Linked DNA regions of Kluyveromyces lactis. The protein of the gene in region 1 interacts with the protein of each later gene in a pairwise test. Links are inferred from orthologs where the notes say so. Each region holds a gene or a part of one and is shown on either strand. Other genes may lie near its edges.

Region 1 (3,761 bases):
TGAATAAGACCGTAAATGAACCATCAAGAAACTTCATCATTGAAAAGGCAAAGGATATCGGTATGGTTACTATCGAACAGAAAGAGTATGAAAAGTTAGTTCATAAGGGCAGTGATAAAACAATGTTACTCGAATCTATTAAGAATTTTGGATTTGTTCCAGTCACTGCGCCAGATTTCAATTCCTTTAAACAAAAGTCAATCGACAATGTTGACATCGACCAATTAACTAACAGATTGGAAACATTGGGTTACGTTGCAGTTTCAAAAGAAGGATACTCAAAATTAATGGCTCCCGTTATAGATAAAGTAACTAAAGATGAAACTTTTAAACTCTGTGACAAATACAATCTAAAGCCTGTTGCTGCTGAAGCATACCAGAAATTACAGGAAAGCTCGAAAGTTGCACTACTTTCAGAGGATGAATTGATTAAGAAAGTCAAGGAACATGGTCATGTGGTCTTAGATAGTAAGTCTTACGAAGATTTGATAAACAAATCAAACAATCCACAACTAAAAGATTTATCCAGACACCTCTCAACCTATAAAATGGTTCCCGTACAGCTGAACGAATATGAAAATCTAATGGCTATGAAAGACTCTCCCTCATTGACGTTTTTGAAGGAGAAGGCTAAACTTCATCATCAAACTATGTTACCATTCGATGAACTGGAGGGCTTGAAATCGAAATTAGAGCACCCATCTAGAGAATATTTAGAAAACATGGCTGGAACTCTTGGACTCGCCCTGTTACCAATTGAATCTATTGAAGAGCTCAAGACCTCATATGAAAATCCTTCTATTGCACACTTATCAAATAGGGCAAGCAATATTGGCAAACGTTTGATCGATCAACAGAAATATGACAATTTGCAAAGAAAAACAAACGAACCTACGGTGAAAGAAGTGGAACAACTGGCTGCTAGAATTGAATGCAAGGTTCTACCAACTGTCGAGTACGAAGAGCTACAGCTCGCAATCAATAACCCTTCAATCAAAAGATCAAAGGAGGTTTGCGACATCAATGGGTATAGCGTAGTTCCCACGAAAAAGTTCAATGAACTTCAACTTAACTTGACTAGTCCATCTTTAGAATTCTTGCAAGAAAAAGCGCAGCAACACAAACAAGTTTTACTACCGATTGAAGAACATAATAAGTTACAAATGTCAGCAGTTACTGACGAGCAGGGTTTACAGAGAAGTGCGAGAAGTCTCGGACTTGTAGTTGTTCCGGAAGCTGATTATGATTCTTTGTCCAATCCTTCCCTGCACATCCTACAAAAGCAAATAACAGAAAAAGGTCATGTGGTACTTGATGCTGAGACCTACAAAAGTCTCAATTCCTCAAATGTTGATTCAATTTCCAAACAGGAGGTGATAGGTCTGTGTTCAAAGTTCGATTTGATTCCTCTACCTGAAAAACACTATAAGGAGTTAACAGTTCCTTCGATAGAGAAAGTAAAACAGCTAGTCGAACCATTAGCGCTAACTGTTATTGACCGTGAGGAATTGGCTTTCTTGAAGACCCAAGTTGATAATCCATCTGAAGAATCAGTTGTAGCGACCGCGCCAAAATACGGGTACAAGCTCCTGGGTGACAAGGAATATGAGAATTTACAAAACGAGGCCAAAAAACTCTCTTCTCTCACCAAAATTGATATTGAAAAACTTGCAGCGAAATTGGGTCTTGTTGTTCTTAGTGAAGAATCATACGATGCTCTTATTGAAAAACTGAAAAAAGAGGTTGAAGTTTCTTCAATGTCACCAAGATCGAAAGTCGCAGCAAGCAAGCTATATTTCGAAAATGTTATCAAGAAAGAGAATTCAAATAAAGAGGTGGTATTAGAATCAGGAAAGTTATTAGGATTTGTAAGACTTTCAAACGATGAGTACAAAAGGCTTCTCGAGAATCAACAAAAGCACGAATTAACAAAGACGGATATTTATAATGGGGCAAAAGCCTTTGATCTCACTGTTCTTCCCTCCGAAGAATATAATAACTTATTACAAAGAAAGGCGCATAGTGATAATATTACATATGACGATTTACAGTTGTATGCTTCACGTTTTGCTTTGAAGTTGGTCCCTGTTAATTTCACAGATGAAGAACTCGAGAAACATAATAATCAACGTGTCGGCGATTATGGCTCTAGGCCTGCATTAAATCTCCATCCCTCTGTGAACCATTCCACTGTTAGTTTCAATTCTGTAAGCACAGGTGACACTGATTATTATGATGCGCTACAAAGTAGCAGCTCCTTCAACCTCAGAAACAGCCCTTCGAAGTCAAGCATGCATACATCTTCCACTCATTATACCGATGCCAATGATTTCCTTGGTTCTGATAATGATAATGTTTCACTGGCATCAACGATAAAAGATAATGAACCGACATTGGAGGACTTGCAAAGACATGCAGAAGTTTTAGGTTACAACCTTATTGAAAAGGATATCGATTGTCATCAAAATCATTACTCTACATCATTGACACCTGAAGATTTGACAAAGGATATCATTTACTCTGCTGCACCGCAATTCGGATTATCTGTGGTGCCAACTGAGGAATTTATAGAGATGGAGAAACTTATCACTTCAGAGAGGTTAACACCAGATTCTATTCGTGAGAGTGCGAAGAAGTATGGCTTAATAGTTTTAACTGAAGCTGAACATTCTCAACTTGTTAAAAAATCTACTCAATTGATCGCGCCAGCTCCAATAATCTCAACAGAAACAATTAAACAGAAAGCTAGAGAACATGGCCTCGTACCAGTAGCAACAAATGACTACCTGAAGCTTATCAAACCTGATAGTGCTGATGATATCAAGGAAAAAGCGTCAAAGCTGGGTATTGTCACATTAGCCGAAGAAGACTACAAGGAAATTAAAAAGCCTTTGACTCGCGAGCTACTGGAAGCAAGGGCCAAAGAACTAGAACTCGTCACGCTACCAGTTTTAGAATACAGTGCCCTCAAAAAACCGTTGACAGTTACAGACATAAAACAGAAATGTGAAGATTGGGGTTTAGTTCCTATAGAAAAAGACATATATGAAGACCTTTTGAACAAGTTCAACGATGACTCTGTCAGTGAATGGGCGAAAGAACATGGGAAAGTTATTGTCTCGAAAGACGAATATGACCATCTGTTGGAAGTCGAGGATCAAGCGGCTTCTGTTGCAATGACTAGGGATGAGTTGATAGAAAGAGCCCATGAGCTCAACATTATACCGATTGATGCTGACAAATTTGAAGAAATACAACGCGAATTAGCTTCCTCCGGCAGAAACAGTATGACGGAGGACGACGTTGTTTTGAAAGCTAAAGAATTAGGATTTGTGCCTATCCCAGTGTCCCAGTATGATCCAAATACCGCGATTGGTATTTCTAAAGACGATCTCATGATACGCGCACGAGATCTTGGTCTTGTTCCCATTCCTATTGAGCAGTTTGAACAGATTAAGAAAGAATTGGAGACGCCAACCTTGACCAGGGAACAAATAGTTGAGCATGCCGCTGATTTCAATTTGATAGCTTTAGATTTAACGGAGTACAAACGTTTGAAGAAGGGTTCGTATTTGATGGATAACGACAATGACACTGATTCTGAAGAAGATGAAGAGGAAGAAGAAGACGCAGAGGTCGTTGACTCTGAGATAAAACAATTAAACAAAGCTGCTAAGAGATTTGGCTTACTATGTATTCCAGAAAGCGCATTTGTCGCCACATCCAATGCAAATACTCCAGATGTCCATAATGTTGTTGTG
Region 2 (3,661 bases), on another chromosome or scaffold:
TGATAAGTTTATCTGTTGATACATCTCGCAGCGCTGCTGAAGCCTTGCAAGAAATGCCAGATAAATTTTCCTTTCAAATGGAATGCTACTATAAACACTTGAATCAAGAATACGTTTCTGTAGAAACGAAATTTATTCCCAGTACAACCTTACCAGGTGAACATCTTTTAACCCAAAATTTCCACTGGGATATAATGGCTGGATCCATAATGAAAAAAATATCTTTCGCTGTCTTGTTTCAAGGCAAGTTTTATGATTACGATCTAAGGTGGTGGACGTTAGAAATAGTAAAACTTCTTAAATCATTGAATGCCATCGATGTTCCTGGCATTAAATCCTTACAAGAAGTAACGTACTTTATGCAAAGATCAACTCTCTTAAGGAAGAGAAATACATCGCCTGACGAGTGGATCGTCTACCATTGGACAATTCTGAATTCCCCTTTAAGTCATATATTCAAGATGGTTAGACCCCAAGTGTATTCGACCACAGGGCTTATTCAAAATACAACTGACATCCTTAATTATGCCGAACCTTTATTGGTAGATGGTGGTAACGTCCTTGTGGTACGAGATACTTCAGTAGGAGATAGCAGAGTTGACAGTTTGAAGGCAGCTGCTGATACCATATACCACGATGGAAGTCGATTTCCAAAGCCTTGGTATCGAGAAACCAAGCCAGGTGCTAGTCAGGATAGATTTGTAATTGCACGACTAGGCTTAACTGCAGAACATTCTTTGCATTCTGATGACCTCACGCTTGATAAATACATGGCACTGTTTAAATCAAAAAGTACTGCATGAAAAGTATGTAATCATTCATTTTACCTCTCAACAGATATCATGAACTCTATATATATATAACCAAAACCAAAAGGTTAGAATAGTTCCCCATTTACTGTCGCAACCTTCGAATCTATCGCTCCCCCTTTGAATAACAATTGTATGGCAGGAAAAGATACTATGTACGTATTCCTTGGTTTCTCCATCTGTCGCTTTTCAAAAATGACATATTTCATTTTTTAAAAGATACTATATAATTAAATCTAACCATTCTTTCCGAATAGCACATTAAAAGCCAGAGTCCAGAGGAAAAGAAAGAGAAACTGCAAGCGCGAGCCATTGGGTCGTTTCATTAGGGAAAGAAAGATGAACTCCACTTCCAACCGGACTCAGGTATTTTATATACCTGTTGGCCTAACTCAAGTTCAGAAAGATTTGTTGGAAATTTTAATCTCGATACATGCAGAGTCGTTTGTCTCATGTGTAGATAAACGTCTACTGCCAGAACTACAATCTAAATTAGAAAAAAAAGGGACAAATCTCAAAAGAGACTTGAGTATGACTGCATTAACAGATGTTCAGTTAACTGAATGGTTCTTCGAAAATATAAGAGCTGTCTCGAATCACCCTTGCCTGTTAGTTGAGCATTATATGCCTAGACAGTTTTTGTTAATGGAACCAACTGAAAGGTTGATATACACCAGCGATAAATTTGGCAAGTTAAATCTAATGGTTGATCTTTTATTGAATCGTAAGGACAAATCGAGGCCATTGCAAGTTGCTATCATTTCACATTCTGTGAAAGAATTGGATTTGATTGAAGGCGTCATGTTGGGAAAAGTTGCAAAGTTGAAGAGGTTATCTGGAACTTCTTTGTTTGACGAAAAACATGAATATGACGATCAAACTTCTGGTTCAAGAACAACCAATGGTGAAAATTCATCAAGTTCTGGTAGCGTAGCTCCTGAGCAAATCGGAAAATCGAAAGATGAATACAACTACTCTAAGTCAAGACGTAAGAATAACATATCTCAACTTGACTGGTTGTTTTTGGCAACAACCACACATTTGACACACTCTGAAGATTTACTTTCTAGGTACAATCTGGATCTTATCATCAGTTTTGATCCAATGCTGGACGAATCGTTACCATCGATATTCAAAGTCAGGAAAAATGGCAGAAAAACTCCTCTGTTTAAGCTATTGGTCCAAGATTCTCCGGATCACTATTTGTTATCCAAAAAGAAGCCAACTACTACTTCCGAAAAGCTAATTTTGGATTCCATTGTTCATTTTCTAAAGTATCGTGCCGATATCAAAGATCTTATTTCTTTACAACAATATGAAAATATTATTGACTCATTGATCAAAGAGACGGACCCTGGTGAATTTCTCCCAAGTGTAAATCCAGGAAGTTCGAGAAATAATGATGATTTGATTCCTTTTCTAACTAACCCAATGGAATTGATGCCTCTAACTTACGGAAAATATGAATTAAGGCTACAATCAGGACCAATGGACATTAAAAATTATCAGTATATTTTAAAAACACTCACGGCAGAACGACTCAAACAATGCCATGTAGAATATGAAGAGCGTGAAAAACTAGTCCTCAAGACCAGATTGAAAGAAACTAAAAGGTTAAATGACTTTGATGATTTGAAGGTGAATATCGGACAACATTTCAAAAAACTCAAAGAAAATGAAACCAAAATCAACGACTCTGAAAAACGCGTTGAAAGAACAAGATCTGAGTTGGAAGTTTTAGAAGAACGTCTAAAGAGCTTGGTTGAACGCAAATCCGAGCTTGTAAGGCTCTTAACTCTCGAAGATATTGCAAAAGAAATTGAAAATCAGAAGCAACAACATACCAAGCTATCAGATGAAGTTTCTTCCTTCAAGAAGAGTAACGATGAAGAGTCCTTTAAGAATGACGATTTGAGATCTAGCTACCAACAAAAATCGTCTGAGGCTGCTTCAGAAGTGCTAAAGACTTCAGCTCTGAAAGCTGAGAAAGAGGAGTTGGAACGCCAATTGAATGGACCTTTCACCAAGTGGGAACTTATTATATTGCAAGAAAAAGAAGCACAACTCAAATCTTCCTTACGCAAAATGGTACAGCAGTCTCAATTCCTAATACAATACATGAACCGAATACAAGGCCAATACAACATTGAAAACGAACCTGCAAAAAAATCATCTCCGGCAACGAACAACTCGTCAAGGTACACTACAAGAACTACCAGGGCTACTTCTCCTACGTACACATAAGTATTACTCCTTCTAGGATACATCCAGACCAAACCATCTCTCAACTACTGCATGCAATATACTGATATCTGAAAGCCTGTCAGATTCTGGTAAACACAAGCTTGCTTGCAAAATTGTAACACTAGCGCAATTACTCCTCTATATAGACCAGTTTGTATTATGTGAGTCAATAGTGACTTGTTCATTCTAATTTCGACATGACCACCCTAACTGCGGCAGTAACGGATCGGCATAACCATATTCAGTTGAAACTGGAACATAGAATTTGAGCTTTTTTTTTCGTACTTTTCGGATTTTAAAGACCTTTACTGATTCGTCTGGTATTTTGCATATAGGGTAGAAAATAAGAACTTTTAGTAGATTTTATGTCTTGCTCTCAAATTGAAAGCAGAAACTAAGGGTATACAGTTCTTTTTTTTTTCTTACCATTGCGTTGTATTGAGCTGACTCCCACAAAATAATAACACTTTAATCTTGGCTACTGTTAAACTCTGAACTTGATTTTGATACAAGTTTTCTGATAATGGGAAAGATGAGTTTCATTGAAGGATTGCAGAAGCGCTTTTTTTTAGGATATTCATACAAATACAACACGTTCGAACTTGATC
Region 3 (2,955 bases), on another chromosome or scaffold:
TAGCTAGTTAAAGACAAGGGTCGGTGGTATTGTGCCAAATAGTACCTTGTCCAGCTCATTGCAATTGAGAAATCATTTGATGGCATGCGACAAATTGAATATAGGACAGTTGCCAAAAGAGCCTCTATAAACAGAAGAAAAAAAAAGGATGTAAAAAGAGCCAGAAAGAAAAGTATCAATGACGGTTGCTGAGTATATTGGGATCAATTTGAAGGAGAATTAGTTCAATATCTTTCGTCTCCCTTTGTTTTCAATGAGTTGTTTCAACGAAACAACGATGAAAAGAACAGCTGTGTCACAAGATGAACAATTTCAATACTAACTCAAATATCTTGTCAATGTCTTGGCTAGGGGAAAACATAGTACTAATGGCTGTAATGATAATACAATAACAATAATGAAGAATGATTTTAGCCGCATGAAGAAATCCTGCAAAGAAAAGAACAAACAGGTTAAAAAGTACGGGGGTAATTAAAACAAAAGAAACAGACGTAGATAAGAAAAGAAATACGAATATAATTCATAACAACATTTCTATCAAAGTCGAGAAATATGTTGTCATATATTATACGATGGTTGATAGTTCCCTCACTTAATCAGAATGTATCCTAAGATAACCAATACCAAAGTAAGAAACCTATAACGATCCAAATGACCACGGCCGGTGCAATATTCGACGTACTAGCGGGTTCTGCAATAATTTCAGTGTTAGCGCTGGTATCAGATTTGACCTTTTCATCGAGCTTTGGTTCACTTTCCACAACTTTTGGCTTTTCAGTATCCAGGTCAGTATTGGCAGATGCAACCGGGACAGATTTCTTTTGTACCGGTTCACTAGCGGACTCTTCTGTAGCTTTCGAACCACTAGCAATAGTTTCCTTGGCTGAAGGAATGACAGTCTCAGTTTGCACGTTATCAGTTTCTAGATTTTCCACGACTCTTGGTTCAGCATCTAGTTGATAATTTACCTTAATCTTCTTTGACAGGCCCTTGTTCTTGAACTCTGCTTCCAATTGAGGCCAAGCTTCGGCCACACTCAGTTCACCTAAATCGTAAGGAGCTGGCAAAGCTATAACCAAGAATTTATCTTTACATTTGAAATCTGGTGTAGGTTCTTCCTTCAATCCTAAAAGAATCACTTGAACATCAACGCTTTCACCGGCTGGCACCAAAGCGGCATTAGGTCTTACACAGTATACCTTAGGAGCTGTGGTCTTCACCTTAAAGGCAATTGTTTGTTCTGAGTCATTCTTGATGGTAATATGCTCAGCTGCTTGGCTAGTGAAAGGTGCTATTACGAAAACAGAGAGGTAAATCACATTGAATAATGGAATCGCAAAAATGATCCCATTAAACATTGAAATAATGATTTGGAAGCTTGTTAGTATATCGAATGCATAATAACAGAAACATAATATTGAGTATCTAAGCATCGGAGAATAATTCCATGTGGTTGAGGATATGGAACATCTATCAGAATCCCTGTAATCCTTCTAAGTATTCATCCCATTATTTGTCTCTCATGCAAGAAAAGTGAGCCAATATGGCCACACATTTGACCACACGAAGTACACTTTCAAATGCTAAACACCATATTTTGTAACTGATCATATAGTAAAGTGGTTTTTAATCCCTTTAAACCACTGCTCAAAGCGACACATACGTTTGTATTCCAATACACTTGGAGTAATTTCAACCATTGTAAACTTATAATAGTGAGAAACAGTTTATACACACTTGTGTTAGAGCTGGAAAACTAATAGACTTCCCGAATCTAACGAAATAACAAATCCCAAATAGAAAGATAAACGAATTAGATAACCGTACCTGATAATCTTCGAACAATTAACCTAGGAACCGATCACTGTAAATCCTGCCAAAAACTAAGTCTCTCTGTTCTTAATTGTAATCGCTTAGTTCAACTTTTCTTTGTTTGCAAAATGTCAAATTCGGGTATTTATGTGTGAGGGTAACCACAACAAATGAAATGGGCACTGAACCTCGTTACGTAATTATCATGCAGCGAGCAGTCGACACAGACTTCCCTCTCACTAAGAGCATTAAGCATCTTTTGAGGTACCAACAGTGCACGGTTTGATTTCAGTTCTTTTATACTTTATATTCTATTTAAACGAAACTGAATTTACCTAGATATGCATATGTTGTAGCGTTTGTTATGTATTGACTACGACAAGTCTTATGGTATCTTTCAATAGTCGTCACCACGAGAGACAATTTCCTTCTTGTGAGGATGTAGGATAAGGGTGTGTTCGAATTGAGCCGTATATGAGCCCTTAATATCGTTCAATGGTGGGTAGTCTTCTACAATACCTTGCCTCACCAATGTGTTCAAAGCGTATACGTGCTTGTCTTCGCCCAATCTATCCAAGTAACGACGACAGAACGGTATAGTTCCAAAATTTTCATCAATAACCTTTAATAGATTCTTGGCACTCGATAGGGATGGTGTTGGATGTGAACCGGGTTTCTTAGCATAATGAGAGCATTCTCCCTCTTGTATAACATACCCACGACCGGTACTCCCGAAAGTTTCGATAGCGAAATGTTCGTTTTCTTCCATCTTTGTGTTGTCACCGTTCTTGACAATTGGCACAGATTTACCCCCATGAATCGAATAAGGATTAATGTTGTGGCCGCACAAATTCCTGCATGGTTTCACTTGGTGTGTCTCACCGTTAATTTCCACTTCGTACGATTCCATCACTTCTTGAATAGCTTCACCGATATCAGTCAACCTAACGTCGATACCTGCCTCTTTAATACCAGTATTGGTTGCATCCTTCACAGCAGCCAACAAATTATCGTATTGTGGATCGAATGCAATAGTAAACGCAGAATCGATGATATAACCATTAACATGGACACCGAAATCAACTTTCATTACATCCTCGAACTTCAACACGGTCTTGTCACCAGCATTAGGAGTGAAATGAG

The links.
Region 2: the proteins of NUM1 (region 1) and HDA2 interact in a two-hybrid assay, tested with the Saccharomyces cerevisiae proteins (2 studies listed by BioGRID). The link is inferred for Kluyveromyces lactis from reciprocal best matches to the Saccharomyces cerevisiae genes NUM1 and HDA2.
Region 3: the proteins of NUM1 (region 1) and SCS22 interact in binary tests that used the Saccharomyces cerevisiae proteins (3 or more experiments, as listed by UniProt). The link is inferred for Kluyveromyces lactis from reciprocal best matches to the Saccharomyces cerevisiae genes NUM1 and SCS2.

What each region holds. Positions count from the first base shown.
Region 1 is NC_006040.1:1,402,617-1,406,377, forward strand, and holds part of NUM1 (Num1p), read left to right. Parts: coding exon 1-3,761. UniProt on the Saccharomyces cerevisiae protein: Controls nuclear migration. NUM1 specifically controls the interaction of the bud neck cytoskeleton with the pre-divisional G2 nucleus. Functions in dynein-anchoring.
Region 2 is NC_006039.1:896,208-899,868, forward strand, and holds HDA2 (Hda2p), read left to right. Parts: upstream 1-1,148; coding exon 1,149-3,053; downstream 3,054-3,661. Other genes in the region: GTPase-activating protein NEL1, read left to right, coding at 1-803; sphinganine-1-phosphate aldolase DPL1, read left to right, coding at 3,577-3,661. UniProt on the Saccharomyces cerevisiae protein: Required for activity of HDA1 histone deacetylase complex. The HDA1 histone deacetylase complex is responsible for the deacetylation of lysine residues on the N-terminal part of the core histones (H2A, H2B, H3 and H4).
Region 3 is NC_006041.1:623,399-626,353, forward strand, and holds SCS22 (phospholipid metabolism-regulating protein SCS22), read right to left. Parts: upstream 1,434-2,955; coding exon 609-1,433; downstream 1-608. Other genes in the region: MAP2 (methionine aminopeptidase), read right to left, coding at 2,210-2,955. UniProt on the Saccharomyces cerevisiae protein: Acts as an endoplasmic reticulum (ER) membrane anchor for cytoplasmic proteins via binding to the FFAT motif of targeted proteins. Regulates phospholipid biosynthesis by modulating the subcellular localization of the transcriptional repressor OPI1.